Linked DNA regions of Caenorhabditis elegans. The protein of the gene in region 1 purifies or fractionates together with the protein of each later gene. This does not show direct contact. Each region holds a gene or a part of one and is shown in the gene's direction. Other genes may lie near its edges.

Region 1 (3,758 bases):
AATGAGAAATACGTGGATTTGGCTTATGAGTGGCATTATTTCAAGTGAGTAATCAAAGCAGTTAGTAAAAAATAAATATTGAGTAATGATAATTGTAGGTTCAGCGAAAATTCGAAAGTTCGTAAACTTGAAAAATCGTTACTTTTTAACATATTTGTTTCAAGTTTGAAATGTTACCAAAACGTAACACATTGCTAATCAAAAATACTCGGGTCTTGGCACGAACGAAACTTTTCAGATATCGTACCCGCGATCGTTTAGCAGCTTTTCACCGATTTACTTTGATACTTTGAAAGATTATCTTGGTGTTTAAAAAAAACATTTATTTAAATATTTCCAAAAAGACGGTACATAATACATTTTGAGAAACTACTCTGAGGGTACGGTAGCTGAAAAGGTTCGTTCAGGACCACAACTTAATAAAATCAAATATAATTTCCATTTCAGTCCGCCTGCTGTATACATTTGGAAAGGATCTCGATATTGGAAATTAGACGAGAAAATGTATCATCGAAGAGTTGATGAAAGGTATCCAAAAGATACTGATCTGAATTGGGCGAGAGTTCCAAAAGGAGTACATTCTGCCTTCACTTATGAAAAAGAAATTCATCTTCTACGTGGAAATCAAGTTTTTCGAATGAATTCATCCCGATCTGTATTTGATATTGCTGATGGATATCCCCAACCTTTACAATCTTTTTTCGGATTCTGCCCTCGCAATGAGAAGCTTGTTCTGAATTCTTCTTCTTCACATTTTTCTTTGATCTATGCAACAATTACTATTTTGATACTCATCTTTTAAGATTTAAATCTCTCAATGGCAGATTCACTTGTAAAAACAGCACTGAAATGGGTTTTATTTAAAGTTTTAACTTGTTATTTTAACTGGTGAATACAAAAAATTATTAAAAATAAATGTGATGAAACATGAAAATTTTTGAATTAATGAGATAAAGTTCGGAATGAATCAGGATTATATGATACAACATGAAATCAAAATGAGTACAGATTAGAGATCATTAGATAAAGATTTTATGGTTGTTTTGATGTCATTTCAGCGTCGCGCATCGAACTGAAATCCGTTGAACCAGTGGCTCCACCTTGATAGTTTTGTGGCTCGAAAGTTTGATTGGAGTCACTATCAAAGTGATCGCCAGTGGAAAAATTGGAATCTTCGTTGATATCGAATTGTGGTGGTGGTTGGGTAACGCTGGTGGAATCCTGGGAATTCTCAGCAGATGGGACTTGATTGCTCTCCTCATCCACTTCTTTGACTTCCTTGATCTTTGGAGGAGCCATTATGTTTTGAGCGCTCACTGAAAAAGTTGTATTGAAAGTTTGGTTTTTTTTTTGAGAAATTCAAAACTTTTATATAGCAGAATATGTTATTAATTCATAATGCAGAGTCATTGAATTGTATCAAAAATATAAGTGTGAAGTTTTTTTTTTAATAATTACTATTTTAAAAAAGTATTTCATATAAATTTATATATAAATAGTTTCTAAATACCGAAATACGTGTTAAAATAAAAAATTACCCGGAACCCATTTGTAGATCCGAATATTTGTGTCCTTGATAAGAACTAACTTCTTTTCCCACCGACGAACTTTTTCCAATGAGTTGATAACCTGAAAATCTTAATATCAGTTTAGTTTTGGAAAAGTTGATTGTTTACCTTTCGGAGTTCATCTTTTGAGCGATTTCTTGTTTCAGCGCGATGAGATCTATTTGCTGAGTACATCTGAAACTTAAAAATTTAATAAATTTACAGAAAAATAAATAAAAAGAACGAAATACAATAAAACTGTTTAAATTCGAACAATCGAACGTTTTTGCCAAAACTGAACTCTGTCGCCTCTAATCTCTAATACGTGCCGGTAGAGCGCAGTAACTCATTGTTGTGTGTAGTCCTCTCGGACAATCTAATTTACTTGTTTCGCAATCAATTCCACGGCCATTTTGATGTTTCTAGCACGATTTATTACTTTAACCTATCATACATTTTGTTTATTCATTTTTCTAAATTTTTGCCGTTTGATCCTAAATATTTTAAATCAAATTCTGTTTTCTAGAAACTCTCAAATCTTGCGTCAAAATGTCATCTATTGGAAAAGAAGATATCTACGAGTCTGACGGAGCTGCAAGTCAAGTTCAAAAAAGTGAACCTGAAAATGACAATCCAACTCATCCGGATATCGAACTGGTTTGTATTTAATTAATTTAAATAATATAAATATTTAGTGAATTCTGATTTTTACAGATTTCGGTTGACGTTGACGAAGCTCTCAAAAAGTACAAAAACCGGGTACTGAACTTGACTTCAAGCGGTAATTTTAAAATAATATTACTTATCATCTTTTTTTTAAATTTAGATTTTTCTGACTCGATTGCTAAAAAGCGGCGACACGCATTTGGAAACAATCAATACGTATTGGAAGTTACTGGTGCAGGATTTTCGGGAACCGAGACTGCAGCCGAAAAACTGAATCGCATTTTGTACGAAGTCGCCGATCTGAATGAACAAATTCGTGCTGATGAAAATCTTAAAACGGATTTGCTCAACGCTGAGGTTCTTGAGAATCTAGAGAAAGAAGTGAAAACGTTGCAAGTGGCTCAGTCAAATGGAAAAACTGCACGAGTTGAGCATGATGTTGAGTTACCAAATGTTCGCACTGACTCGAAAGTGGCAACTCTTGAAAATAGGTTGAGAAGAATCGAACAAGTTATTGGAAGTTCGGTTATTCCATCAGCTCCCGTACTTGACACCATTGAAGATCTCAAACTCAGGTGAGATATCTTAAATTTAAAAAAATAAAAACGTATGAAAAATGTTTGAGATGCGAAACGCTTAATCATTCGTATGTCTCCGGTCTTGAACAACGTTTGAATATGATGCTTACCAAACTTGAAAAAATCGACGAGACACGCGCCAACAATGATATCGACGAGAATCTTGACAAGAAAGTTGATGAAATTCTGGAGCTTATGCAAAAATGGGATGTCGCTTGCTCATCTCTTCCAAGCAATGTTAATAAGGTTAAAGCATTGAACCGTCTTCACGAACAAGTTCAACACTTTGCCGGTGGACTATCACATTTGAAAACTATCAGAGAAAAACTCGAAAAGGAAGTCGCGCAAGGAAGAGAAGCGATTATCGAGTATGAGGTGTGTTTTTTAATTGTTTCGAGGAATATAAACAAATTAAATTATTGAAATTACAGTCCCAAGGAAAGCAAGAAATCGGGTCAGTGGTTGAAAAGCTGAAGCTTCTCGAGGCAAAAGTGGCAGATTTGAAGTGATTTTATCGACCTTTCTAGAGAAACAATTCATAATTTATTGTGTACGGACAATGCAACATTAACTAATCTGTTCGATATATTTATGTGCTTTATTTTTGCTTTCCATATTTCCGAATGAACCAATCTCTATTCAGCAATTGAAGGCCATACTCAGATAACGAACTCCCCATCCGACATTCTCGTCCTGAAATTTTCATATTTCTAAGTCAGATTTTTCGCGAAAACTCACATTAACCGCTCTGATAATCATATGAAAATGATCTTCGAATCCAAACCAAGATTGTGATGTAACATGGAATTCAACCGTCATATGAGAAGAATCTTTAGTCATTATTGCAAAGATAATACGAATTTCAGGATTGTAATGAGTTCTTGTATATCTATCGAAATATGATTTAAATCTGGCAAAATCCAATTCCTCTTGAATATGACAATCAGTTCCTTTTACTTGATCATCA
Region 2 (3,387 bases), on another chromosome or scaffold:
GTTGGGCTCACGGAGTCGATGAGAATCCGACGCTTTTTTCGTTCAAACTAGATAATTTTGACGATCATCTCGAGGCAAGATTCCGTGGAAAATTCCAGAAGGATCAGGTTTATGACTGGATTTTGACGTAAGATTTTGACGTGGCCGTGGGGGATAAAACTCGGCCACCAAATGAAATTTCTCTTCCAGAACCAAGCAACCCGAGGTAAAACTGCTCAACGAGGAGCTGGTGCCGAGCTACCGTAGTGGAATGGTCCCAGGATTTGATCGCGCGCGGGAAACCGTAACAATTCTGTTTATTGACACGAAAAAGTCGCAGATTTGGAGGAATTACGCGAAATTTGCGCGGGAAAATCACGGGCGGTTCCATTTGACAGCGCTGGTGTCCGAGGAGGTCAAGAAATGGTAAGAATTGGTGGAGAATGTTGTTCAAAATTTGATTTTCCGTAACTTTCCGGGTCCTACCGCGAACGAAAATTTCCAACTACAGTACCCCACATGGTAGCTCACGTGGTGCCAGGCTGTCTCATTGCGGTTTGATCTACAAAAATCCAGGAATTTTTCCCCTAGCAAAGAGTGACGTCAGCACGTTCTTAACCATGGGAAATCAATTGAGAACTCTGCGTCTCTTCTCCCGCATTTTTTGTAGATCTACGTAGATCAAAAAGGAGACACTCTGACACCACGTGGTAGCTGAGAAGTTTTGTTCGTGCCAAGACCCAAAGCATGGATTTGATCGAAAAAATATTATGCCAGTCCGAGTTTTTAGTCGTAATCGCAACTTTTTGGGTCCTGCCGCGAACGTAACTTTCCAACTACAGTACCCCCACACGATAGCCAAATTCGTTCGTGCCAAGACCCAAAACTGGGATTTTGGCTAAAAATGTATTTTTTTTCAGAAGAAATTGAATTTTAACGAGAAAAATTGGTTTTTTTTTCCTGGAAATTTTCGAATTTTCCAAATTTCAAATTTCCCGATCTTTCAGGTCCATCTACCCTGCCTTCATCACGATGAAGCCCTATGACCCCTTCGTAAAAGCCTTCACACTTCATAAGGATCTCAACTGGAATCGAATGGTCGACTACTTGGAGGACGGTGTACACCCGGGCTGTCATCAATTGTCAAGTCCCTCCGATTTCCTCTTCGCCACCGGAACCCAGAAGCCTCTGGTCGTATTTTTCGACCCACTGGACTCTAAAAATTCTGAAGGATTCAAAAAATCTGCTGCCGAGCAGCAAAGCGGCGATCGAATTGCTCATTTTTCGGCTGTAACCGGTTTCGACCTGTTTGGACTGTATGTGATGAGCGTTTTTAATGTGAATTCCCCGAGCTATATTGTCATTCGGCGACAGGTACTTTCACTTTTTAACTTCAAATTAAATTCATTTTTTCCAGGAAAAAGGATGGTGCATCCACACAAAACCCGCTGAAAACGACAATTTCACTGGAATTCTTTCATGGGTTCGGAATTTGGAGCCAGTTCACTGCCAGGAGCTCATTGAAAACTTCAAGTTCCCAATTGCTCGTTTGAATCTGTTGGAGCGGTATGATGACGTGGAAGAGCTAGAGAAAGGGTTCACGGCCGTGGAGTGGACTAGGGACGAGCTATAGGAATTTTAAAAAATTGCTCTGTTGTAATTTGGTAAAAATAAATAATTTAATTTGTTTTAATTTGATGTTTTACAGATTAAAATTGCATTAAAAATTTATATTTAAGAATTAATTAATTTTCCCTGCTCGTCATTTTAAATGCCAGTTCCGCAGGTACACCGCCACGGTAGATTGCGGACAAAAGAATCCTTTTTTTAGCTGTTTTAAGGAAATAACAAGAAATTTCGATGAAAATTTTCAGTTTTAAGCTTTCATACTAAGATTTAATAAAAAACAGACAATTTTAATGTAGAATTGCAGGCGATATCCTAGTTTCCACACTGAAAATCACTTGCGCGTCAAATAAAATGCAAAGTACGCATTGACACCGTCACGTCCCATTGCACACAATTTCTCAATTATTATTTTTCTTTTTCGATCTTTTGATTTTAAATCTGAAAATGGACATGATCGAGCTTGAAAAAAAGATTTCTGAAATTGAAGAAGTTCTAGGAATCGATGATCTCACCACGGTAAGCTTTTTTCGCGCAATTTCCAATAAAAATGCCAATTTTTTTTCCAGAAAACATCAATTCCCTCTCAAATCGAGGCTCTTCAATCCAAATTACGAGATGATTGTAAGGCGAATCTGCTAATGTCGATTCCCATTCAAAAGCTGGAGCATTTGAGCAAAATCGCCACGGAAGTACGTTGGAAAAACTGAATTTTCTGTGAAAAATCGATTTTTCAGACATCCGGCCCATATGGATCGCTGACTGACAAAATAGAGTCTGTAAAATACGCGGAAAAGCTGATCAATGAACGAGCGGAACGGATTAAACAATTTTCAGATGCTCTTGAGGTCTTTTTTTGCGATTTTTCAGAGAAAATTGAAGAAAAATAAAAAATTTCAGCCCTGCCTCGACCAGGAGCTCTTCTCAAAAGTGGCTGCACTTCAACCGGAGCTTGACGCTGAAATCGAAAAATACGAGAAGGCCCTGGAGGACTGGACCAAGTAATTGCAGTTTTTAAAGCCTAAAAATCTGAAATTTCCAAAATTTCAGAACCTACGGAGAATTCCAGACACTTGTCGCCGAGCGGTCAATGATCAACCAAAAAATCACCGAAAAAGTGCTGGATCTGCAGACGAAAATCAACGCAAAAGCTAAATAATTAAATATTTTTTCGCTGGATTGTAATTTATTTTTATTTTCTTTGTTTTCCTGTAAAAATTGAAATTCTACAAGTTTTTTGTTAGACAGAAAGACGAATTGGCAGCAATTATCGACTTTTCGAAGTGGGCAAGATGATGACGTTGTTTCGGGAAATTGGAAAATTTGTTTTTTTCCAATTTTTTTCCTCGCAAGAAAAATAGTTTTCTCTCCATTTGAATTACTAGATTTTTCAAAAAATTTGAACTTTTCTCCGTGGAGCGCGCTTGCATTATTAGATTTTACGAAAATTTGAATATTTCTCAGTGGAGCGCACTTACACCTCACTTTTTTCCAAAATTTTTAGTAATTCTCGATGGAGCGCGCTTGCAGCAAGGTAATTTTCAAAATTTTCCCAAAATCTCTATGTAGCGCAGTTGTAATCCAAAATTACAGCTAATTACCAGTAGAGCGCGCTTGCATCAGTATTTTTAAAATTTTTTTGAAATCAATTATCAGTGGAGCGTACTTGCATCCCAATAAATTTCATATAGTGCCAGGCTGTCCCATTACAGTTTGATCTACAAAAAATTCGGGAATCAGCACGTTCTTAACCATGCGAAATCAGTTGAGAAACCTGCGTCT

Evidence for each region. Proteins that work in one complex are often made in the same cells at the same time.
Region 2: the proteins of dnc-2 (region 1) and dnc-3 purify together in Caenorhabditis elegans (affinity purification with western blotting; 2 studies listed by BioGRID, with this or other methods). This does not show direct contact.

Annotation. Positions count from the first base shown.
Region 1 is NC_003281.10:5,924,070-5,927,827, reverse strand, and holds dnc-2 (putative dynactin subunit 2), read left to right. Parts: upstream 1-2,073; 5' UTR 2,074-2,096; coding exon 2,097-2,204; intron 2,205-2,261; coding exon 2,262-2,328; intron 2,329-2,373; coding exon 2,374-2,788; intron 2,789-2,838; coding exon 2,839-3,166; intron 3,167-3,222; coding exon 3,223-3,300; 3' UTR 3,301-3,430; downstream 3,431-3,758. Other genes in the region: zmp-1 (Matrix metalloproteinase-A), read left to right, coding at 1-44, 448-802; bcl-7 (BCL7-like protein), read right to left, coding at 1,033-1,316, 1,539-1,629, 1,677-1,742; C28H8.2 (uncharacterized protein), read right to left, coding at 3,431-3,484, 3,530-3,758.
Region 2 is NC_003280.10:3,551,784-3,555,170, forward strand, and holds dnc-3 (DyNactin Complex component), read left to right. Parts: upstream 1-1,996; 5' UTR 1,997-2,052; coding exon 2,053-2,124; intron 2,125-2,174; coding exon 2,175-2,297; intron 2,298-2,342; coding exon 2,343-2,453; intron 2,454-2,505; coding exon 2,506-2,606; intron 2,607-2,655; coding exon 2,656-2,764; 3' UTR 2,765-2,834; downstream 2,835-3,387. Other genes in the region: W10G11.19 (DUF4105 domain-containing protein), read left to right, coding at 1-127, 190-405, 987-1,353, 1,397-1,612.